Coturnix japonica: one gene and its partners. The protein of the gene in region 1 purifies or fractionates together with the protein of each later gene. This does not show direct contact. Links are inferred from orthologs where the notes say so. Each region holds a gene or a part of one and is shown on either strand. Other genes may lie near its edges. The genes, in order: PTGES3, FKBP5, FKBP4, SMYD2, EGLN1 and AAR2.

Evidence for each region.
Region 2: the proteins of PTGES3 (region 1) and FKBP5 purify together in Homo sapiens (affinity purification with mass spectrometry; 4 studies listed by BioGRID and IntAct, with this or other methods). This does not show direct contact. The link is inferred for Coturnix japonica from reciprocal best matches to the Homo sapiens genes PTGES3 and FKBP5.
Region 3: the proteins of PTGES3 (region 1) and FKBP4 purify together in Homo sapiens (affinity purification with mass spectrometry; 3 studies listed by BioGRID and IntAct, with this or other methods). This does not show direct contact. The link is inferred for Coturnix japonica from reciprocal best matches to the Homo sapiens genes PTGES3 and FKBP4.
Region 4: the proteins of PTGES3 (region 1) and SMYD2 purify together in Homo sapiens (affinity purification with mass spectrometry; 3 studies listed by BioGRID and IntAct, with this or other methods). This does not show direct contact. The link is inferred for Coturnix japonica from reciprocal best matches to the Homo sapiens genes PTGES3 and SMYD2.
Region 5: the proteins of PTGES3 (region 1) and EGLN1 purify together in Homo sapiens (affinity purification with mass spectrometry; 5 studies listed by BioGRID and IntAct, with this or other methods). This does not show direct contact. The link is inferred for Coturnix japonica from reciprocal best matches to the Homo sapiens genes PTGES3 and EGLN1.
Region 6: the proteins of PTGES3 (region 1) and AAR2 purify together in Homo sapiens (affinity purification with mass spectrometry; 3 studies listed by BioGRID and IntAct, with this or other methods). This does not show direct contact. The link is inferred for Coturnix japonica from reciprocal best matches to the Homo sapiens genes PTGES3 and AAR2.

Annotation. Positions count from the first base shown.
Region 1 is NC_029544.1:1,699,920-1,704,016, forward strand, and holds the start of PTGES3 (prostaglandin E synthase 3), read left to right. Parts: upstream 1-1,297; 5' UTR 1,298-1,546; coding exon 1,547-1,548; intron 1,549-4,097. Other genes in the region: NACA (nascent polypeptide-associated complex subunit alpha), read left to right, coding at 9-392. UniProt on the Homo sapiens protein: Cytosolic prostaglandin synthase that catalyzes the oxidoreduction of prostaglandin endoperoxide H2 (PGH2) to prostaglandin E2 (PGE2).
Region 2 is NC_029541.1:456,248-459,747, reverse strand, and holds part of FKBP5 (peptidyl-prolyl cis-trans isomerase FKBP5), read left to right. Parts: coding exon 1-138; intron 139-254; coding exon 255-397; intron 398-985; coding exon 986-1,100; intron 1,101-3,500. UniProt on the Homo sapiens protein: Immunophilin protein with PPIase and co-chaperone activities. Component of unligated steroid receptors heterocomplexes through interaction with heat-shock protein 90 (HSP90).
Region 3 is NC_029516.1:68,427,819-68,432,091, forward strand, and holds the start of FKBP4 (peptidyl-prolyl cis-trans isomerase FKBP4), read right to left. Parts: upstream 2,801-4,273; 5' UTR 2,602-2,800; coding exon 2,518-2,601; intron 1,218-2,517; coding exon 1,073-1,217; intron 1-1,072. UniProt on the Homo sapiens protein: Immunophilin protein with PPIase and co-chaperone activities. Component of steroid receptors heterocomplexes through interaction with heat-shock protein 90 (HSP90).
Region 4 is NC_029518.1:18,626,815-18,630,314, reverse strand, and holds part of SMYD2 (N-lysine methyltransferase SMYD2), read left to right. Parts: intron 1-169; coding exon 170-294; intron 295-3,500. UniProt on the Homo sapiens protein: Protein-lysine N-methyltransferase that methylates both histones and non-histone proteins, including p53/TP53 and RB1. Specifically trimethylates histone H3 'Lys-4' (H3K4me3) in vivo. The activity requires interaction with HSP90alpha.
Region 5 is NC_029518.1:35,717,602-35,721,662, reverse strand, and holds the start of EGLN1 (egl nine homolog 1), read right to left. Parts: upstream 2,801-4,061; 5' UTR 2,658-2,800; coding exon 1,761-2,657; intron 1-1,760. UniProt on the Homo sapiens protein: Cellular oxygen sensor that catalyzes, under normoxic conditions, the post-translational formation of 4-hydroxyproline in hypoxia-inducible factor (HIF) alpha proteins.
Region 6 is NC_029535.1:174,073-178,195, forward strand, and holds the start of AAR2 (protein AAR2 homolog), read left to right. Parts: upstream 1-1,323; 5' UTR 1,324-1,389; coding exon 1,390-2,140; intron 2,141-2,874; coding exon 2,875-3,104; intron 3,105-4,123. UniProt on the Homo sapiens protein: Component of the U5 snRNP complex that is required for spliceosome assembly and for pre-mRNA splicing.

The DNA of each region.
Region 1 (4,097 bases):
TTCTTTAGGTTGATGAAACCGGTGTGGAGGTGAAAGACATCGAGCTGGTCATGTCCCAGGCCAACGTGTCCAGAGCGAAGGCGGTCCGTGCCCTGAAGAACAACAGCAACGACATTGTAAACGCTATAATGGTGAGCTGCTGTGTGCTGGGGGGGGGCCTACATCCCACATTTCACATCCCATATCCCATAACCCACATTTCATATCCCACATTCTATATCTCATATCCCACATCCCACCTCTGCTGTTTGAGGCCTACCACTAGGCCGCACTGCCGCCATTGGGGCCTACTGCCTCCATTTGGGCCCTACTGCCTCCATTGGGGCCTACTGCCGCCATGGGGCCATACTGATGCCATTCGGGGCACTACTGCCGCCATTGTGGGCCTCTGATGCCATTGAGGCCTACTGCCTCCATTGGGGCCTACTGCCTCCATTGGGGGCCTACTGCCACCATTGGGGCCTTACTGATGCCATTGAGGCCTACCGCCATTGAGGCCTACCGCCATTGGGGCCTACTGCCTCATTGGGGCCTGCTGATGCCATTGGGGACCTGCTGAATGCCATTGGGGCCTACTGAAATCGCCATTGAGGGCCTATTGATGCCATTGGACGCACTACTGCCCCATTGCAGAGACCTACTGATGCCATTGGGGCCTACTGCCGCCATTGGGGCCTACTGCCTCCATTGGGGCCTACTGATGCCATTGGGGCCTACTGATGCCATTGGGGCCTACTGATGCCATTGGGGCCTACTGCCGCCATGGGGGCTACTCCGCCATGAGGCCTACAGCCCCCATTGAGGCCTACAGCCCCCATTGAGGCCTACAGCCCCCATTGAGGCCTACAGCCCCCATTGAGGCCTACTGTCGCCTTTGGGGCCTACTGACGCCTCTTTTTCTCTCCTCAGGAGATTGACGTGTAGAGCCGAACGGCAGGAGAGGGAACCTATTACTATATTTCTTTTTTTTTTTTTTTTTTTTTTTTTTTTTTTTGGTTATTTCAGAGAAGACTTAAAGGAAAACCTACATTTAACATTTGTACTTTGTTTCTATCAGTTAATAAAACTTAATTGATAGAGCCGCACTGACTGAGGCCTCAACTTCTCTCAGGCGCGCCTACAGGCCGCTGCCCCCCCCCCATGTCTCCATGGTAACCACTGGCTCCGCCCACTCAGCGCAGTGCGCATGCGCGCCGAGAAGCTGCTAGAAGGGAGGAGGGGGCGTGGCCAATGAGGGGAGGGCGGGAAGCGCCGCGCGCCGGAGGCGACACGCGGGACACGCGCATGCGCAGAGTGAAGCGGCCGAATCGGCGCGGCGGTATTTTGCTGCGTCACCAACGTTGGGCGCCGCCGCCGCGCGGTGCATTGTGGGAACCGAGGCCGCGCCGAGCCCGGAGCCTTCGGAGCGCCCGGAGCTCAACGGGCCGCACCGACACACACCGACACACCGACACACACCGACACACACCGAGAGACACAGCGCCGCCACCCGCCGGGTTAGGCCGTGTCCCCCCAACGACTGGAGCCGCCGCCGCCGCCACTCGCCATGTGAGGCCCTGAGGGGGGTTGTGTGTGTGTGGGGGGGGCGCTCCGGGCCTACACCGTGAGCGGCGGAGGGGGCGGGCACCGACATGGGAACAGGCCGCGGCCTGGAGCGGAGCAACGCGATCAGCGCCGGGATGGGCCGCGACATGAGGCCTGTCCCGGTGCGGGGCAGCGAGCAGCGAGACGGCGGGCAATGAATGGGAACCGGGCGGGGACGGACGGGGCTGCGGGACGGGACGGGATGAGCTCCGGGTCCGGCTGAGCTCCGGGTCCGGTCGAGCCCCGGGTCCGGTTGAGCCCCGGGCCGGGCTGAGCGCTGAGCCCGATGTGTTGTGCCCTAAGTGGTTCAGCTCCATGCAGTGATTGGAGTGAATGCAAACAGCGGCACCTTCCCGGTGTTATTTGCCCCAAACCCCGTGACTTGAGACCCGCCGGTTCTCATTGATCCAATGGGTTGATCACTGTGGCCATCACCGCCATCACTCTGAGCTCTAGGGCTGCTGAATGGGACTTAGAAGGAGCAAAGAGTCTCAGAGCTGAGAGCTCCGTGTAACCTTAAAGGCTGCATCATCCCCAGAGCTCAGCGCTGCTGCATTGCGATGCCTGGGGTTGTTCTCACGGCCTGCAGCTCCCACGTGGTGCTGGGAGATGAAAGCAAAAGGAGTTAATGCAAAAGGAGTTAATGGGGAGCAAAACTCGTCACGCTGGCTGTGGAGATAAGAGGGTTTCTCGTGATCCTCTATGGGGGGTGAGGATCTTTGTCCAGCAGATGATGCCTGCAGCCATCCGGGCTGTCAATGTGCTTTCCAGGATGGGATGTGTCCTCCCAGTGTGTTGAATGGGGAAGAGAAAAAGCACGTGGGCAGCTTTGGGGGCATCCTGATGGCCTCAAGTTGTGCCTGGTGTGATCTGAGCTCAATATGGGGGCACAGGGGCTGAGGATCCCCCCCCCCCCCAACGGAGCCTACCAAGGGGTGAGGGGGCTTCTCAACCCAGCACAGAGCTGCTGTGATCATTGCCATCCTCATTGGACAAGGGGGATGGTTTGAAACTGAGATAGGGAAGGTTTAGGTTGGATTTTAGGAGGAAGGTGGTAATGCATTGGAACAGGCTGCCTAAAGAGGCTGTGGATGCCCCATCCCTGCAGGCATTCAAGGCCAGGCTGGATGTGGCTCTGGGCAGCTGGTTGGTGACCCTGCACATAATGGGGTTGGGACTCAGTGCTCACTGTGGTCCTTTTTAACCCAGGCCATTCTATGTGTCTGTATTCAGAAGGTCACCAGACTCTACAGGTGATGGTGGAGCCCTCTGGGAATATGGGGAGGGCTCCATTGCTGTGCTTGGCTCTATTCAGTGCCTGGCAGTTGGTTGTTGGGTGGGACTTAAGGTTTATTTGCTCTGTTCTCAATGTGGTTAGGACAGGAGGGCGATCCATCACCAAAGCACACACACAACGCTCTGCTTGACAATGTTGGCATAAGGCTGAAGTAACGTCTAATTAATTTATTCTGCTCTCATTCTATGAGCTCAGCTGAGCCAGGAGGAAGCGCTGGGCTCTGCTTAATGATCCCAACATCCTTCTCAGTGCTGGGAGGAAATGGGTGCTGGGTCTGCGGGGGGTGAGGGGGAACCACCTGCACTGCTCAACCTGGGTCTGCTCAGAGCAGTGTGAACCACAGCACAGCATGAGATAGGAATCACCATTAGAAGCCACTATGTAGCTGCCCTATTCAGATGGTGAGTCCAGCAGCCCAGGGAAGGCCTCTGTTTCCCTATGAGAGATGGAAAGGAAGGTGAGTAGTTCATATAAGACTTCTAGCACGGTTTTAATGTGTTGCACTGAGTGTATTTCAGCATGTGGGGAGGTACTAGAAGTTTGCTGTTAGAAACATGAATTGCATTGGAGTAAGCTGGATACAAGCATCGAGGCTGGGTTAGAACAGCACAACCAGGGAACGTGCCCAGCTCGCAGGGAAGGCTGGGGATGTCTCCATTGACACTGCAAACACGTGCAAAGTCTTCTTGCTATTCACAAGAGCCTCAGCACCGTGCTCAGCAGGGACACTGAGGCTGCTGTTGTGATAACAGCACGCTGGCTGGTGGGATCTCTGTCCCTTGGCTTTATAAGCAGCAGCAATTCAGGAATCAGCCGTGGAGTGGATCCCATTTGGTCTCTCTCCCCTTTATCAGCTGAATCACAGTAGCTTCAATCCCAACTCCTTGCAGGCAGGAAGAATGGTGGGGTTTGAACTTAAAACAGCGTCTGTGAGTTGTGGTTGTGGGGCTGCTTTGGGCTCACAGCAGTGGCTGCACCCTATGGGTCACGGTGCAGGTGAGCTCAGTAGCTGCAGCTGAATGGGGTGGGAGTTGAGATCTGCTCTGGAAGCTTAACGGCGGGTCACCCTGATGGAACGTTCTGGAAACTTAATCCGTCTTTGGTTGGGTTCTCATGCTGTAATGCTTTAGAGTGCAGCGCTGAGTCCGAGCACCTCACAGCATGAAGGTGCTACAGAGAGCAGCACCTTATTCTATGTGTCCTGATGTGCTTTCAC
Region 2 (3,500 bases), on another chromosome or scaffold:
AGAGACCTGGGAATGAGGATGAGTCCCCTATGATTGGAGACAAGGTTTATGTGCACTACAAGGGCAAGCTGGCCAATGGCAAGAAGTTTGACTCCAGCCGTGACCGCAATGAGCCCTTTGTCTTCAGCCTGGGCAAGGGTAAGGGGACAGGGGACTCCCGTGTCCTCATGGCACTAATGAACAGCTTTTTGGGGTCCCCCTCTTATGCAGTTTTTCTGTTTTGAGTTTTTTCTTGATGCCTGCCTCTCTCTCAGGCCAAGTGATTAAGGCGTGGGATGTTGGGGTTGCTACCATGAAGAAGGGTGAGGTCTGCTACTTGCTGTGCAAACCAGAGTATGCCTACGGGGCTGCTGGCAGTGCCCCTAAAATCCCCTCCAATGCCACCCTCTTCTTTGAGGTAAGTACAGGGATGGGAGATCTCAGTGCTTTCCGCCTTGCCAGTCAGCTCTGAGAAAGAGGAAAAAAGAAACAAACCAACCAAACAAAAAAATATTCAGCTTACATTCCTGAAACGTGTCCCTCTGCTCCAGGAACCAATGCCAGTGTTTTTTCAGCAATGTGTGTCTGAGCCGAGAGTCTGCGGTGGGGAGCAGCCCTGTGGGGAGAGCCTGGCTGTGCGAAGGCACGCGAGTGGGGAAGCAGCTCAGGAACACTTCCAGGGGTTAAAAATCTGCTCCTGTGCTCCCCGTGCGCCTCTCAGCCACAGTTGCGCTCTGCCCTGCAGGATTAATAAACTTGGTTTTACTCTTACTTTGTGCTGCACTTCAGGTACTGGATGTGGCCCAATTTCTAATAAATTGGGTGTATTATGCTGTGGCTTGGAGCTGGCTTTTATGGGCGACTTCTGCTTGTCAGCTGAGCACAGAATTAGTTTGCTTGGCTCTCTGGCTTGGGGATGAACTGTTGCTTTGTGGATTTTCTGTTGTTTTTCTCTTCTCCTTCCTCTCCACCCACAGTTCTGCCAACCTTCCCTTTAATCCATTAGATTGAGCTGCTTGATTTCAAAGGCGAGGACCTGTTTGAAGATGGAGGGATCATCCGGAGAATCAAGAGGAAAGGAGAAGGCTATTCCAACCCCAACGAAGGTGCTACAGTGGAAAGTGAGTACTGGGTTGGGAGCTGCCCTTGGCACAGTGTGTGATGGCTGTTCCAGAACTGCTGGCTCGGAGGGTTTTACTGGAAAACCTTGAGCTGTAGGAGCAGCCAGCTGGGGATGGAGCGACTGCTCAAGGACAGCCTGCACTCCGTTTCTGCAGTCCCTGTGGGGTCTTGGGGTCAGCCCTTTCCTCTCTGTTTGCCCCTCCCTTGTCTCTGAGTGGCTCCAGGATGTTGTTATATCCAGGACTGGTGTGGTGGATGCTGAAAGTTGGATTTGCTGTGATTTGGATTTCAGCCTGTAGCGCTGGATTTGCTGAGGTTTTCACTTGGTGTGCAGCTTGCTGGGTGCTTGGGACGCATCTTTTTGTCCAGACGAGGAGGCAGCAGCCCCTCTGGTCTCCTTGTTGTGGTGCTTATTGCTGTTTTGGTGGTTTCCATTGCATCTGCTGCAGCACGGGCCCTTTTCCTTCCCACATGACCGGAGGAAAGCTTCAAACTTCTGGTTGCAGCTGTTGGGGGATGAATTAACTCAAAAGGGGTCTGTGGAGTCAGTGTGATCTTAAGTGCATGGCAGCTCATCCTATCCAGCTCCTCGCTCCCTGTCTGTGAGTGGGACAGAGTGATTCTGGTCATGTTTATGGAGCAAATGTCTTACCAAGGCGGGGACAGCCAAGCTTTTTTTTCTCCTCCTGAGAACAACTCAGCCATAGAAGTAGAGCTAACATGCCATCTGCATAAGGCATCTAGTTTCTTATCCCCATTCCAGAGCTCCTGTTCGTTCAAGAGAGTCCAATTAACTTCCATTAGCGAAGGTGAAATTAGATCTGAACTCATAAAACTCACTGTCTGTTCCTCTCACAGACTTTTTTAAGGAGATGTTGTCTCCTGCTGATCTATCTGCCTGTCACATGGCTAGACACTGCTGGGGGTAGGATTTCAGGCTGCCTTCCCTGTCTCTGAGGTTAACCTGAGAAACAAGCTGAACAGAATGACAACCAATCCCATTCCCTCCTGCCTCTTTAACGCTGTTTTTTATTTCATTCAAAATGGGGTTGAGGGGTGAGCCCATGTGCCTGGGGAGCAGGGCAGAGCCATGCTTTCCCCTTTGCTCAGATGCAGTGACAGCGTGGTTGCTCAGAGCAGGATGGAGATAGGCTGGGGAAAATACTGTGAGCATCTGCTGCTCTGAAAGGACACAGCAACCGGAGCTCTCTGTGGAGCTGTGTTTCTGGGTGCTCTGCACCTTGAAGCTGACTTGTTCCTGTTTCAAGTAGATGCTCGGTTCCAAGCAAACACGGAGAACAGGAGCAGACAAACAGTCAGGGTAATAGAGATGAATGCCCTTGGAGGCAGCGCTGCATAACAGCGCTGCTCAGAGCAGGAGCACTGCGCCAAGGTGGCTGCAGGTTCTTCGCACCAACCTGCAGCCTGGGGCCAGAGACCATAAATACATCCCAATGAGAAAAGATGCAAAGCAGCAGTGAGCCAGCCTGGCAGCCTTGCAGGTTTTGGGTGCAGAGAGGCTTTTTATTTTCCAAATGCACTGCTGTTTACCTTGGAGTGCTTTGCTTGGGGCTTGTTTGCAGGGGAGCCCAGCAGCAGAGATGGGACCCCATGGAGCGGCCTTAGTTTATGGGGGTGCACAGGCACCTCTGTGTCTTTCACTCCACTCCCCAACAAACCCTGCATCAGGGATAGCTCCCAGGTGCCCAAAACCTCTGTTAGAAGCCTGCTGGGGAAACATGTGCACTAGCCAGGGTGAGCACCTCCAGTCTGGAGTTTCATAAGCAGTTCTATAGCTTTGAGTTTTACAGGCCGTAATTTGCAGTTCCGGTTCCTAAAACACGGGCTGCAGTCAAAATCCCACATTCCAGCTTTTGTTACAACCTTTCCCCACCCCCTCCCCCTCCTCTCCATTTTAATCTGAGTACAAATTGCTGTCAGCACATCAAGTTCATGTGCCAGCCGCACTCGGTACACTGTGTTCTGAGCTCTTCAAAAACAAAATCGCTGCAGGCACCGGGAGAACAATAAGTCAGCCACTGCAGCCGAAGGGATGTGCAGAGCCCGGCAGGGGCTTTGCTTTCTGTAATCCAAGAGCAACCGCAGCCAGCTGACCTGCTTCAGATAGCGCTGAAATGCTCCTGGAAACCGGAGCAGAGATTTCCCCATCTCTAGTGTGCAATTAGAATGGAAGGAAAACTCTTCTGCTTCTCTTGAAGCGAGGGCTGGGAGCTCGTGTTCTTCTGGGCATCCTGTTGTTGAGGAGGGCTTGTGGGATCAGCTTGTCCTGCTGCTGACAGGTGACCCAGGGATCCGCAGGGCCAGGGATGGTGGGCGCAGAAAGCACAGAGACAGCAAGGAGCCATGAGGTTGGTGGGCTGCTTGTGCTTTAGGCTGAA
Region 3 (4,273 bases), on another chromosome or scaffold:
GTAATCAACTTACAAAGTTACTTGGGCACCCAAATTTAGCTGGTTTTTTTTTTTCATTCTACAGTGATTATTATTCTCCCCTCATTTCTTCACCCATACAGAACATAGGTAATCTAGACACAGATCATGCCTAAAGCACCTGACAAAATCTTAAGTGTGAGCAAGTAGCAATGCTCTTCAAAAAATAAGGTCTTAGGGTAAGAGACTGTCTGCTTGTATTTTGAAAACAGCCCACAATAGCCCAGTCTCTCTGCACTTTATCAGTTGGCAAAGGCCAACGTAAGTGGTAACTGAAAGTTGCGTGGGTTTATAACAGAAAGGGGAAGGAAAGTAGAACAAGTATCCCTCCTAAAGCCAAAGTAACAAAAACCTCTCAACTCAAGTGCTCCTACTTGTGGTTCCTTTCAGTTCAATCAAGTTGCCCTGTACCATTTGGTAAAATTCTATCATCCCAAATTTCAGGACTTCGTAGAGTTTATCTCCCAAATAAAAAGCCAGTAGGTAAAGAACTCCTAGTGATAACCACAGATTGAGTAGTAAATTTTGCAGGAACTAGGATGTTTGGATTTTCATACTCAAATCTGACTTACTTACAGACTTACTTCAACAGTTAGATCTGGGAGCTTAGGGATAGAGGGAGCATATTTCCTCTTTCCTTCAGTTGCAGCTGATAGCTGCCCCTGTGCACTCTGTCCCAGTACTTTCACATCCTTGCCCCAGTACCCAGCTACACTTAACTCTTCTTGAATTTGAGGCAACAAGATACAAAAGCAATACAAAAAACTATCAACAAAATATATGCTGCAGCTATTTAACTGCCTTTATTGCTGTATCTCACAGTAAACTCCCACTGAGGTGAGCATTGTATCTGAGGTCCTGTGAATTCTGAGCCAGATACACAGAATGCCCACTCAGAAAGATCTCAAAGCACTTCTGAGTTAATCTGTTTATATGAATTAACGATTAGCTCTGAAAACAAGTTAAAATAGTGATCTTAGTGAGTGAAAAAGTGTGCAAGAAAACTCCATCTCAATATTACTAAGATTGACCAAAAGCAAACATAAGTTATTACCTTTCCCCAGGTCAAATGAAAACTTGTCTCTCCTGTCCAGACTGGAGTCAAATTTTGTGCCATCAAGAAGCCATCCTGTATAATGGACAGTCACTTTATCACCGATCATCGGAGACTCTGTACCAGTGCCTTCTCTCTTGACAACCTGAAAAAAAAACAGTAAGCAACTCTAAAATGATCAAAACTACATTTGCCTATTGGACTTCAATTCTATTCGCTTAAGGCGTGTGACTTACCCTCTCCAGTCAACAACAGATTTGCAGGTATACTTCAGTTATCTAGAAATGTCACAACTAGCCTGTCTAAAGATAAGATTTCAAATGCAGGGAAAACAAAGGCAGCTCTGCTGCCACCAGGTCAAATCCTCTGGATACTATTCTGATACGAAGCTAGTGAACAATGAAAACAACATCTTCTGGAATCAGTGCTATGATAGTAGTACAAAATTGGTTTATGTCAGTTCAGTTAGACCTTTTCAACAGATGTAACCTGCATTCCTGCAACCACTACTACTACAAAAGAAAACTCTGGAGTCATGTGAGCTGGACTTCAAGACCTCCACAATGTTTTGCCTTATCAGCTCATAATCACACATTATTTATTTTTATAATGTTCATACAACCTCAGTTATTTTACCAGTATCCCCCTCCTCCTTTGTATTTTTATTATCACCTGCCTCTCCATCATCAAAGAATGGGTACTGCATATGGTAGAGAGATACAAGATGCCTTTTACAATGTTCGAGTAGCCAAGGTACCAGAGACCCGCAGGCAATTGGGGGTGTGCTTGTCACCAAGCACATCTATACCAGGCCCAAGTGTAAAACGTGCCACCTCAGGCTCCAAGCCATGCTTATATTAAGACAGAGTGCCCCCATTTTCAGGCTGTGAGAAATAACTAGTTCAGCCTACACAGCGCTGCACTGCTCAGCACCATCTACATAGATAAAAGCCATACACACACTTTTGCCAAGGCACCATCTTTAATTCCAGCGTCCGACCACGTGCTGGGGGCGGGACTGATCTGCTCAACCCCCCCCAAACTAGAGAGCAGAGAGCTCAGCCTGGCTCTCCCAAACCCACGCGGGACACAGGGAGGGACGCCTCGTCTTCCCCCCCACTTCTCCCTTGGGATTTCCTCACGGAAAGCGTGGGCTCCTTCTCATTGCCAGCTCCCACGGGGAGCCCCGTACACGGGCAGCGCCTGCGCAGGCCGACACAGCCGCCTGCAGCGTTGCGGCTGATGTGTAAGTAACCATGAGGGCTGTACGAGCATAACGCTCGGTGAGCGGCCCGCTCACAGCCCTACCCGAGGGGAAGGGGCCAGCCGGCGGCGTGTCGGTGCCCGGGGAAGGAGGCCGAAGGAAGCGCCCGCTCGTAGGCCGCCCCTCAGGGCCTCACAACAGGCTAATACCCGAGTAGTAGACAGCGGCAGCCGCTCAGTACCTTGAGAACGCCCTCATCCCGCTTAGGGGTGATGTCCGTCCCCTCCAAGGGAGCCCCATCCGCTTTCATCTCTTCTGCCGTCATCCCGTCTGTCGCGGCCACCGCTGCTCTAGGGAAGGGCTGCCTGGTGGAGTCGGCACCGGCCGCCGCGTTGGGCTGGTACCGCGCCGCAGCTCCGGCTCCGAACAACGAGAGAACAAACGCCGCACACGCCTCCTCCTCCTTCTCTACCTTCACCGCAGCGCGAGCCCCAGAGCAGTGAGAAGGAGGAAGGGGAGGGGGAGAGGGAGGAGCCGAGAAGTTTCTAGAGAAGCGGCTGGGCTGTCGCAGAGCGGCCGCCTGTGGTAGGGGAGGATTAAAGGGCGCGTCGTGCCTTGGGGCGGGGAGAATGGAGCTGACTGAGGGATGTGGAGGGTGGAGAAGTTGAGGAGAAGCGGTTGGGCTGCGCTGAGCTGAGGTAGCGATCGGCAGGTGATGTGCTCGGCTTTTCCTGCATGATGGGGGTGCCAGGGTTTGCAGGGAGTTGTGGTTGCTGAGCTTCAGGTTTTTCCTTTTTCTTCCAAGCCTTGCTATAGTGTCCTGCTGCTAGTTTTGTTCCTAAGTGCATCGCTTTGGTGGCTTGTCTTACTGTGCGCTGGTAGGTGGTACGACTTTGTCTATATCTTTCAGATATCTGGCAGGAGATGCTGGCTTAGAACCTGTGTAGAAATCGTATTTGCTGGAAAAAACAAAGAGTGACAGACATTACAGGATACAAAGATGGTTCTAGTTAGGCAGAAAAACAAACTCTGAACTCAGATTACTAAGTATGGAGTGATCAAGCACTGGAATAGCCTGCCCAGGAAGGTTCAACACTTGCTCTACCACCAACATCTCTGACCTAGTGGTCAACATAGAAAAACTGAAGGCATTACTTTTGGGGCAGCCTTCCTTTAAAGATTTGCCAGAGATTAAAAAAAAGGTTTGAATATAAAAGAAGGGAAGAGAGTAACGTAGCTCTGCCATAGCTTTTTTTGAATTGCACTTATGTTGTTTAAAGCAGTGGTGCAACCCTTGGCAGCCCACAGGAGGGTACAGATATTCATCAGTCTAATGTTGTGCTATCAGTTTGTATGACACTGCTGCGTATGCCATTAAGAATGTCAGCTGCTGCCTGCAGTCAGGTTAAAACCTTTATATTAGCCTTTTTCAGCTACAGAGTTACCCCATTATCCTTGCTTTCCCTTGCTCAGCAGTAAATAGCAAAGCAAGTCCTTCGTTGTCCTTTAAACCTAGAAGAGAGAAAGTTGTTTCTCATCATTTACCACATCACAGCAGACTATAGGATATTGCTATGGCCCACATGCCTTAGAGACAAGCCTCTTTTATTTTCTTTTTCAAATGTAAAACTGTGGTATTAAACTCATCTCTTGCTTCAAAACCTAATTTAAAGAAAAATGAGTTGAGCAGAGCAGTTACACTACAGGCATGCATAGTAAGATCCAACCCCTCCATCGCAGGACTGGAAAAGGGCTCTGTATTTGCAGTTGAGGTTTCTGAGGTGTACTTCCCTTAATTCACTGATGGATGAAAGCATTTCTCTAAAACTAGTTCTGGTGCTTTAAATTCACTAAGTTCACATTTTCTGCAAGTTATTTTATAGTAAGGTTATGGTTTCTTCTCCAGTGCTTCTGAATGTAAGTGTTCCATGTTATTTGGGAGTTTCATTTATGTCAGGCTTATCCAAACCACAGGCTGCATGCAGCCCAGCACTGCT
Region 4 (3,500 bases), on another chromosome or scaffold:
GCCTTGGCAGAAGAAGCTTTATGGAAGAACAAACGCTTCTTGTGCTACTTCCAAGTAACTGCTCCATGAGGGTTTTCTGTTTAAGTCCAGGCTTGTTTAACTTAAACCTAACTGAAGTTCAGTGGGGAGTGTTCCTGTTACTGAAATGGAATGTATTCTTTGTCCACAGACCTTGACAAACTAGACAATGAAAAGAGAGAGCTGATTCAGAACGACATTGCTGCTCTTCATCACTTTTATTCAAAGCACTTGGAGTACCCTGACAATGCTGCTCTTGTAGTTCTCTTTGCACAAGTAAGTTGGCTAGAATCTAGTCTGCTTAGGTGGATGGTGCTGTAGGAGGAATTCAGCCTTTGTGAAAGGGGCAAAATCTTCCTGGTGATGGAAGTGATAGCTCTTTGCTTGGGGAGAACTGAGTGTGCTTGATGGCAAAGATGCACTTCCTTGGCCGAAAGTGGCTGGGCATGCTCCATTTCAGTAGTGAGGGAGAGATTCTTATCTTCAGGTTTTTCATGAGGTGCTTCTCAAACACTGAAGAAAATAGGAAATAGCCTTTAATAGACCCTATCCAAGTTAGGCTTTGGGCCAAGCATAGTGCAGCTGTTGGTGGACACAGGCAGAAACCTACTTGCCTTTAAAGGATCTCACCAGCAGAGAATAGGAAAGAGCAACCTGAAATTTTATCTGACCTATGGCTTTTAAACACAATCAATTAGTTTTGTCATCTGGAGAGATGAAGGCAAGGCAGGATGTCTTGTTAGGTATGTCACCTCTCTTCTCTCACCTGATTTTCATGCACATCAAATATGTTGTAGTGGGTGAAATAATGCAGAAATGGAATGCTGGAAGAATCCTTATCTTTTTTTTTTTTCTTCCTTTTTTCCCTGTACTTCAAAAGAAGCTACTTTAAGACTCCTGAGTAAAAAGTTTAATTTTGATCTATGGGTAAATGTTGTCTGCTGCAGTGAAAGCTGAAATGGCACCACCCTCTTCATATAGCCAGTTATGTATCAGTAAGGAGACACTGTTACTATTGCCTTAATACAGGCACTGTTATGTTGTAGAGGAATGATTCTTAAGCGTATTTGGCATCTGTTCTTCATTCAGTTGTTCCAAACTATACATTTTCCCCTCAGTAAAAGATTTTTCCATTTTAAAGACTTGATAATTTATGTTTGTTGAAGGGATACTGTAAATAAATCTGTACATCCAGTTTCTTGCATTGTTTCTATACTGGAATGCAGGTAGAATCCTCCAAAGATTGAGTTATTATATATAAAATGAGATTTTTTCACATCCTATTCTGGACCACCATATCCTGGTACTTCAGGTGACTCCTAGAATTGGTATTCTCTCCAGTCTTCCCTCTGGGTGCCAAATGTCACCTTTAGTTGTCATATGAGTTCATCTTGGTTATAAGACAATTATCTCCAACTGGACATTGACGTTTTTTGAACTGAAATTTCCAAAGATTATCTGGAAGTTCCAGAAAGGTGTTCTACAGGATACAACTTTTTGAAGTTTTGACTCCATTATGCATCTTTCTGGAAAAAGTGGAGGTTGGTCTATACTTGATACATACAAACACATTTTCTAATCATTAGTTAACCTGAGCTAAAAGCAGTAGCATGGATGTGGTGCCGTCCCTTTGTTTTGCTTCAATCATTTCTCTGGCCTTGTATTTTTAATTTGCTTCTCTATTTATTCTTTCTTCCCATAGCTCAGGGCAGCAGTTTGGCGGTAGGATACCTCTGACTCCTTGCTCAGTGCTTTTTGGGTCTTGGTCTGGTGTTGCTCCTTACCAACACAGATAAGGCATAATTATCTTTCAGAGCAGAGCAAAGATTTTTCTCCAGAGTATCCTAGTCCTCTGACACTCTCATCCCCAGCTGTTGGTATCATTCTATGGTCTTTTGTCCCTCTGGAATATAACTCTAGATACTATCACTCAACCTCCTCAGTCTCATCTCATCGTACTCTTTGGCTTCTCTTCAGTTTTTCTTTCAAGTTCTGGTGTCCCATCCTTTCCTGTGCCTTACTTTGCACCATCTCTGTTCCACCATTGGGAACAACCTTGGTGTCTCCTTTTCTTGCTCAGGTTTCTTTATTCCCTCCATGCTTCCTTTTTTAGTCATGCATTCCTCTGGGGAAAACAGTGCTATCTCATCTCTTCTGTTTGCTCCTCGTGTGTCATTTGTGGTATGATGCATTCAAGAAGTGGGCTGTCTCTGGATTAGTATAACTCACTACATATTTTTAAATATTTTCCTGTGATTCAGATCCATCAAGCTGTTCTCTGTGTCAGCCTTCGTAGCCTTATGTTCTTATTTGCTGTTGATGTAATTTTTCTCTTCTATTGTTTTTGTATTCAGCAATTACATTTTGGTTTTGGTTCAGGTATGCTCATATGTTGGCTAGTGCTCATCTTGAGAGACAGGGAGCCTTTGGATGCTAACTTGCTAAAACAGAGAAATAAAGAACAAGTAAAGGTACCAAAAATACTGGTAATTGAATCAGAGATGCAGGACACTTAGCTGTGAACTCATCATGAACAATTCATAACTGAGGGGTGGCTTTGGAAACCATTTCTGCATTTTTAAAATCTCATCCAAACTGCATTCCAGCCTGTGAGGCATTACAGTTAGTAGTGTTTGTTGTCGCCTCCTGCCTTCCAGAGCACGTACTTGTGCTGTACTTGATTGAGTGCTCTTGTGGCCATTATAGCTTCAGCTGGACTTCATTATGTGACAGTAGTTCTTCTAGTGTTTTTCTGGCACTTATGTGAGGATTTTAAGGATTTTAGGGGGAGTGGCTGGTGCGTGTGGCTGGGGTTCTCTGGGCTGGCATGTAGGTGACTTGCAGTAAAAACGGAATAAAATACTCATTTGAGGTACATCTAGGTCACTTAAGTCAGACAGAGTTGAAAGTCTGGAAACATTCTTTTGAGCTTAGTGAGAATAAAACAGGAAAAGGTTTTAAAACCTTTGAACCTATAAGAAAGACATATGAATAAGCTTTTTATTCTCTGATTAAATTATTATTATTAATATTATATAATAATATAATAATAATATGATTAAATTATGCTTCCTCACACATTCTGTTCTTTTTCAGTCTCCTCCTATATCTATATGAGGTTCCAGTCTATCTCACTCCCTGTGTTCTTCGTATCTGCTTCAGCTGTAGCTCATACATGCAGCCTTTGACCAGATAACATCCTCATTGTGCCAGATCTCAGTAACACATGCTCCTTCAAAGCTCTGCAGTGCCTCAGCCTGGCTGGGTTTGTTGCTGCTCATCCCTGCGTTGTTCTTTGCATGCATAGTTCCACTTCAGCCTGTTGTTGGCAATAGCCAAATGAGATCTCCTTGCCCTGTCATTGTTACACATGATGTTTGCAGTGGTCTGCTTTGTTGGACACTCTTTGTGGTGCTTTTTTCAAGCCTTCATTCTCTTGATTAGCATTTTGAGGTGTAATCCCTTAGATGTTGTGTCCTGAG
Region 5 (4,061 bases), on another chromosome or scaffold:
GGGGTAACTGCTGTGTAGTAGCATCATCTCTGCTGCACACTCATCTCTACAGCTAAGAACAAAATGAACTGCAACTCCTGCAGGAGTGAGACCAAACCTTGATCCAGAGAAAGCAGAGACGAGAAGGAAACAAAAAACAAGACTTTCCCAATAACCCAGAGGTGTCACCGTGTTTCCATCCTCCCAGAGCCAGTAGCTCTGTCCCAGTAGCTCTGATGGGACATGTCAAAGCAGCTCCTGCCCTTGGGCTCTACTCACTCTGGCAGAAGGGTGAAGGAAAGGTGCAGGCCTCCAAGGATGCAAGAGAGAGTCTGCTACCCCTGCAGACATTATGAACAAACACAGACAAACCAACCAAGTCTGATTCTTCCACTCAACTTGTGCAGCCCCTTGCAGCGATACACCTTCACTCACTAGTAAATTTTTAACAGTGATGGACAGATTTCCTCCTGCTTGTGCTGAAGCTTTAGGAAACCAAGCTTTCCTGCAACACCAGAAGCACTGGTTTTGGGAGATAAGCAAGGGAACAGGAGAAGACAGAAAGTAATACATTTCTGTACCAGCGAGGAGCAAAGGGCTGCCTGCACCTGCTTCGGTCCCTGGAAACACAGGGATTTATTTCAGTAGCAAGTGAATACCAAGTGGTGCTCAGCAAACTTCACAACTGTATTGCTGCTGTATTGCCCTGGCACACGTTACTTCCAGCAGCACATCACTGTGCTCGCAGACAAAAACAGTGCTTCTCTTGGGAAGCACTCAAGGCTCCAGATGTTTGCAGCAGGTGAGTCTGAAGCACAGGCACCTTAAAGAATCACAGAATGACCCGGGTTGGAAGGGACCTCAAGGATCATGTAGTTCCAACCCCCCTGCCTGGCAGGGCCACCAAACATACACCTTTACTAGATCAGGTTGCCCAGGGCCCCGTCCAACCTGGTCTTGAACACCTCCAAGGACGGGGCATCCACAACCTCCCTGGGCAGCCTGTTCCAGGGCCTAACCACTCTCCTAGTGAAGTACTTCCCCCTAACATCCAACCTAAGTGCTCTTTTCCAGAATCGTAAAGGCTGGAAAAGAGCACTAAGACCATCCTGTGTAACCATCAGCCCACCCACCACATCCCTTAGTGCCCACACACGTTTCTGTTATACCTCCAGTGACTGTGACACCACCACCCGCACGGGCAGCCCGTGCCACTAGCACACAACTTTTTGGCTTAGAAAAAATCCGAGTCAACAGAGCAGGAGGAGAAATCCAGACCACGTTTGTGATGGCGTTCACAGAGCACTGCTTCAACTGGCGGTACGCGCAGATTGCATCGCAGAACAAAAAGAAGAAACGAGAAGTTCCCCCCACGTTGCTCTGCGGCAGGAGGTAACTCAGCGCATCCGAACAGACCCGGGGCTGTCTCTCTCCCCCTCCCACTCCCGCTTCCCACCAGCTGAGGCCCCACAGCTGCACCAACAACAGCGACTCTGTGCCCGGGCCGGCCTCGCCGGGCGCCCCCCGGCATCTCACTGCCAGCCTTATACTTCAACAGAGGCAGCAAATTGTGAAGGGGCTGAAAAGACGGTAATGAATATTCATCGCGGTCCTTCACGGAGCGTACGATCTCATGCGGCGGACCTGAAGAGAATCGCCAATCAGGCCGACACAACGGGGCTCGCTTCTGCGCCCTCGGCCGCCCCGGAGCGCATCGGCGACCACGTGCGCTCGGTCCCGGTCCCGGCCGGCGGCCCGTCCCCACCCCGTCCCGCACTCACTTTCGTCCTGCCGTTGATGCGGTAGTTGCCCAGCTTGCCGTTGCAGTGGCGGATGAGATCGTCCATGCTGTTCATGAGCAGGCGGATGGTCTGGCAGCCCGGCTCCTTGCCCTCCACCCAGGTGATCTTGTCGCCGCGGATGTCCTTGGAGGAGTCGCTCTTCTGGCTGACCAGCTGCCCGTCGGTGAAGCGGCCGGTGTGATGCAGGGCTCGCACTTCTTGGGCCACCAGCCCGCCCAGCTCTTTGCCCAGGAAGTCGTCTACCACGCAGATGCCGTGCTTGTTCATGCAGGGCACGATGTACTCCAGCGCCAGCCGCTGCGGCACCAGCGACTTGGTCTGCCCGTTGGGACGCAAGGCGGCCCCGCCGGGCCCCGCCTGTACGCCGCCCGGGTACAGGTTCGACTTGTCCCGGTACAGCGACACCGCCTCCGTGGCGGGAGCCGGGGCCGTGGCCGCCGCCTCTCCGCCCCCGGCGGCCGCGACGCGCTCGTCGTCCTGCGGGGCGGCCTCTCCGTGGGGCTCGGGGCCCGGCGCGGCTCCCTTGGCCGCCTCCTGCTCCGTGCGGCCGCAGGCGCCGCGTGCGCTGCGGGAGCCGTGAGCGCGGGGCGGCGGGGGCTGAGCGCCGCGAGGCTCTACAGCGCCCCCTGCCGCGCCCGCCGCGCCTCCCCCGCGGCAGATGAGCTTGTGCTTCTTCCAGTCCTGCCGCTGGTGCTCCTTGCTGCAGTAGAACGAGCTGCGGCAGCGCCCGCACCGCAGCAGGTTCTCCATCTTCCCGCACAGCTCGCAGTACTGCCGGTCCCGCTCGCTGCTGCTGCTGCCGCCGCCGCTGCCACCTCCGCCGCTGCTACTGCCGCCGCCGCCCTGTCCGGCGCCGCCGCCGCTGTCATTCGCCATGGCGCTGCTGGTGCGGCCGCAGCCCCGCTCCGCCGCTCGTTATGTAAGGAGGCGGGCGGGAGCGGCGCTACGCGGGCCCCCGCCCGGCCGCGCTGGGAGCGGCGCTCACTGCATCATGGCCGCCCGGCTCGCCGCGGCCCCCGCCGCCCTGCGCGTCCGTCGGCCCGCGGCCTCCCTCCCCGCTCCTCGGCGCGGCCAGGCGCGGGGCCGCCGCGGGGGCCCTCCGTGCGCCTCTAGCGCCGCTTCATCGCCGCCCCGCGGGAGGCGGCGGAAGGCAGACGGGGCGAGCGGGCGGCTGGCGCGGTGCGCGGCCGCTCTGCCGAGTGCGCGGCCCGGCGCGGCCGCCGCCCTGCCCGCCGCGCCTCAGCGCCGTGTCGGGGCGAGGAGGAGGCGCCACGCTCGCGGCCCGCTCTGCACGTACGCCACTTCCAGCCCGCCAGCGCCGGCGGCGCGTCAGGCGGGCGGGGCCGAGCTGCCGGCGGGCGGGGCCGGGCCGGGCCAGCCGCGCCGTGCGGGAGGCCGGCGGGGTCCGACGTGCTGCGAAGCTGCTGACGGGGCGTGGCTGGGAACCTCGGGCCGAGCCCCCGCTGCCGGCGTTGGGAGCGGGCGGCACCGGCGTGACGAGTGGTTAAAGTCGAGCCTTGGGTCCGGCCGCGGTGGCCGAGCGGAGGGTCGGGCTGTGTCACTGTAGGCCCCGAAGTCAGCCGGTGGAGCAGGAGGCAGCGCCGTCCCCCTCGTAAATAACGTGTGGCTTCTGTTCGATCTAACCCGGCCCTGACCGCCGGAGCGAGGCGGTTTAAATAATGCAGAAGGAAGAGAGAGCAGATGATGGGGGCCGTGAAACCACGAGGTGCTGGGGCCGGCGCTACCGTGAGCGGGACAAAGCCCCACAGGAAAAGGAAGCTGGTTTGGCCGAGCGGCGGGAGCTGTGGGGACGGCAGAGAGGAGGTGACGCCATGGAGGGATGAGAGCCCCACCATGGTCACATCGGCTGTCAGCAGCCACACCAGGAGCTCTGAGATGACGTGTGTGCTCCGATCCACTCGGCTTAGCCTGAACCTTGCTGGCTTGCAGTAGATGTCAAGTGAATGTGATGTATCCTGTACATCCTGTGCAGTATGGCCCAACACAGTGTCAAGGTGCAGCACTCAGCAGCTCCTTCCTGGGCTGTGGGGCTCATTTGCTCTGAGGCCCATCCGGCAAGCAGAGCAGAAGCTTTGGTTGGCTGGGCTGGGCAAGGGCACTCAGCTGCTTTGTGTATCTTCTCAGCACAGAAATCCATCCTAAAGCCAAAGAGGCCCAAGAAAGGAGCCATGTGCAGACCTGGGGGTAGAGAAGCATAACGAGTCCTTTGGTTAGTAACTGAAAATGAGCAGTGTGAATGTTCTGCCCATGTTCTGCCAA
Region 6 (4,123 bases), on another chromosome or scaffold:
CTCAAACTAGTGGCCTTATACAGTTAGAGCTGACCTGAGCGTGGATTCAGACGAGTTATATTTGGAGTGAGCGGACCCCATTCTGTGGTTTTTACAGCTTGTTTAATGGGCGACAGCATTTCAATTAGAAAACGACAATAAATAAAAGCACCAACAAACAAATAGGATGAAACCAACCTGCCAGGCTGGGGCAGCTCAGCATGGTGTGTTTTCTTCCAGGGGCCTTTCTGCTGCAAGGGGCGGGAGACATGAGTGCCTGTTTTTACCCGATCCCACAGATTTATTCCAAACCTGGCCTGCAATTGCATGAGTGATAGTAACAGTAACAATAACAATAATGTTTATATTTGAAAAGCACCTTACCAACCAACTGCAGTGCTCTGCTGTTCCTTCACTAACTCCCCTTTTCCCTTATTCTTCTTCTCCCCCCTCCAGTCATGCTCCTTTTCAGTGCTCGGTGGTGTACGCGTGTGTGCTCACTGTTCTTGTATTCAATAAAAGTGAAATAAATGTGTTTGAGGCTAAACCAGCTCTGCGGCCTTTTCAGACTCCTTCCCACCAAAGAGGATGCGCAGATGGGGACAGGGGCTCCATGCAGGGGCTGCATAGCGGGCTGTCCCCCATAGGTATTGTACGTGGTGGTTGGTGGTGATGCTGCATGGCTGTCCTGCCGTGGGCTGTAGGGTCACCCTTTGGGGTTGGAGGTTGCCATTTAGTGTCAGCGTTAAGCGGGTCACCATTGTTGGTTAGGGTTGGGTATTAAGTGTTACCTTTTGGGATATGTTTGAGGGCTACAGCTTAGGGTTAGTATTAAGGGCTAAGGGTTACCCTTTTGGGAGATGGGTTGAGTTACCCTTTTTGGTTAGAATTGAGGAGTACGGGTTAATATTTTGGGCTATGGATACGGTTACCCTTTTGTGTTAGCGTTAAGCATTCAGGTTTCTCCTTTTGTGTTAGGATGAAGGCTCACTCATTTGGGGTTACAGTGAACGGCTTGGGGTTACCAGTTTGGGCTACCAGTTACCCTTTTGTGTTAAGGCTAAGTATATGGGCTATCGTTAAAGGTTACACTTTTGGTTCATGGCTAAGGTCCCCCTTTGGGTTGCGGTTGAGGGTTACTCTTTCGTGTTACTGTTAATCGTGAAGGATTACCCGTTGGTTAATGGGGGCGGAGGGCGACCGCTTCTGTGTGGAGACCGGACGGAAGCAGAGGTTCGGCTGTCGGGGCGTCACGTCGAGCGGCCGCAGCGCAGCGGGGCTCCCCGGCCTCCGGGACCGCGCGGAGGCGGAACGAGTTGCGGCCCGGAACGTTCGTGCGCGGCGCATGGGGCGGCCCGGGCGCAGAGCGGAGGAAGGACCGCGCGTTTCCGGCCCTGTCCGCCCGCCGCGATGATGGCGGGGCTGCGGGCCGACCCGGAGCTGGCCAAGCGGCTCTTCTTCGAGGGTGCCGCCGTGATCGTCCTGGGCGTCCCCGAGGGCACCGAGTTCGGCATCGACTACAGCAGCTGGACCGTGGGGCCCCGCTTCCGCGGCGTCAAGATGGTTCCGCCCGGGGTGCACTTCGTGCACTGCAGCGCGGCCCGGTCCGCCGGCGGCACTGAGACGGGACCGCGGGCCGGGCTGTTCCTCTGCCTGCGGCCCCGGCAGGTGCGCGCCCTGCGCTGGGAGCCGGGCAGCGAGGAGCTGCGGGACGCGCCGGGAGAGGAGGAGGCGCTCGGGAGGGACCTGCGGGACATGGACGCGTTCCTCGGGCCGTACCCGTACGACACCGTGAAGAAGTGGATCGCCCTCAGCAGCTTCGTGGGCGAGGCGGCGGTGGAGCGGCTGCGGCCGGAGAGCGGGCGGATCTGCGCCTTCTCCGAGGTGCTGCCGGTGCGGGAGGGGCGGCTCGGCCGGGACCGCGCGGGGCAGAAGCTGCCGCCGTACGACGCGGGGTGCGGGAGTTACGCCGAGGGCGTGGCCAGGCTGCCCGAGATGCGGCCCAGAGCCGGAACCGAGATCCGCTTCACCGAGCTGCCGCGGCGGACGTACCCCGAGGGAGCCAGCCCGGAGGAGATCACCAGGCACTGCATGGACCTCAGCTACGCGCTGGAAAACGTCATCGCGCGGCGCTACGCCGGGCGGCCGCAGGACCTGCTCGGTGAGTGCGCGGCGGGGACAGCCCCGGGCGGAGCTCCGGCCGTGGCCGTGCCGGGGGGCGGGTGCTGAATGTGGAGGGGCCGGGAGCCCGGCTGGGCTGAGTTGTGAGCGTTTGTTTTTCACGTGGTCTGTCGTGTTACACGAGTCATTCGTTATCAGAATTCCTGCGGGCGATTGGAGGGGAGGCGAAGGTGATCGCATCGGGTGCAGGTAACAATCTTCAGAGCCACCGGTTCTGGCTGGTGAGAAGCGCCTGGCGAGGCTGAGTCCTGGCTCTGAAAAAGAGACAAACACTCGTTGCTCACAACCTCCGTTGTTCTCATCCCTGCGTCTGGGGGCAGCGCCTGCAAGCCGTGGTACAGGAGGAGGTGAACGCCTGCAGGGCGCCGGCAGTGGCTGTGTGCAGGTCTGTGCACCTGTGAGTGTTGCAGGTGCTCCTGTAGCTCCTCACTCAGTGCCAGCAGCACCGCCCTGCAGAGCTGGCAGCCACAATTAGGAGCCCTGCCCGGTTACACTGTGCTTTCTCTCCAGATGGGAGAAGAGCAGAGCATTAGGAAATAATCGGTGTTGGCAGTATTGATCGCCATTTGCAGAGTCACTTAGAGGGCTGAAGGTTGTTTATATGCCCAAGCTAAACCTACAGTTTATGCAGTCATCTGCAGAGCTTTTTAGAGGATGTGTGCCTTGGTTATACCTCGGTTTACCTGTTTTGTTTTGTTTTCTGAATACCTGCAGCTGAGTTGCAGTTTGCTTTTATCTGCTTCCTGATTGGGAATGTATACGATGCATTTGAGCACTGGAAAAGACTGTTAAACATCCTGTGCCGTTCTGAAGCTGCCATTGCAAAGTATCAGGACCTTTATGCCAATCTCATCTTTGTCCTGTACCACCAGTTGAATGAAATCCCGTCTGATTTCTTTGTGGACATCGTCTCCCAGGACAACTTTCTGACCAGCACCTTGCAGGTACGGCTGTGCGTTCTCTTGATCCATGGGAGTCAGAATGCAGGGCATGCAGGGCATTGAAACAGATACAGAGAGAAGCTTCAAGAGGAAGTAAGCTGCTGTTGAGTCTGCCAGAGATAGGGAGCCTGTGTCCTCCGTGAGGGCACACTGACATTTCCTTTTACTTTTTCCTGGCGTTGCTCACACAGAAATGACCTCTCTTGTCATCTATGAGCTTGATCTACCAATGCACATCGAGCATTTATTGCCTTCAGCAGATCAAGCATTTAAAGCACCGTGGACTGGAGTTGGTCCGCACGCACGTGCCAGCAAAGTGAGGTATTGAGGGGAGAGGCTGTTGACAGCTGCAGCACAGAGTGAGGCCTGAGTCTTCTCTATTGTGTTTTCCTTGAAGATAGCACTGACCGTGATCTGGTCCATTGGTGCAGGTTTGGAGTTCTGGAGTGGGACAACTGACGTGACTGGGTGGAACCAGCATGTTTGTTTTAAAAGTGATCTGGGCTTTCAGCTGTGTGAAGCTGAACATCTCCGAGAGGGGCTGAGCGAGTGCAAAGTGGTGTCTGTTTGTTGATCAGTTTTTTTCCCCTCCAAATACCATTCGTTTAAAAACACGTGGCTTGGTGTAAAAGAGTGGTGGTGGTTTCTGATCAGCTTGGATGGTGTGCTCAGCCTGCAGGGAAGTTGCAGCTAAATCTTACTGAGCTGAAGGTATGGATAACATATAAGAAGCCTTTCTGCTCCTGCCTGCTTTATGCAAACGTGAAGGTTTCCTGAAATCAGGTTGTTGTTTGTATGGGATTTATGGTCAGTCCAAACAGCAGAAATACACTGCTGGTGCTGAGACAGGCAAGGGCAAACCTGTAAGTCACTCCCAGTCACTGCAACTGCTGATAGATCAGCAATACTGGAATAGGCTCCCCAGGGAGGTGGATGAATCTCCATCCCTGGATGTGTTTAAGAGCCATTTGGATGTGGTGCTCAGGGATATGATTTAGCAGAGGGTTGTTAGAGTTAGGGTA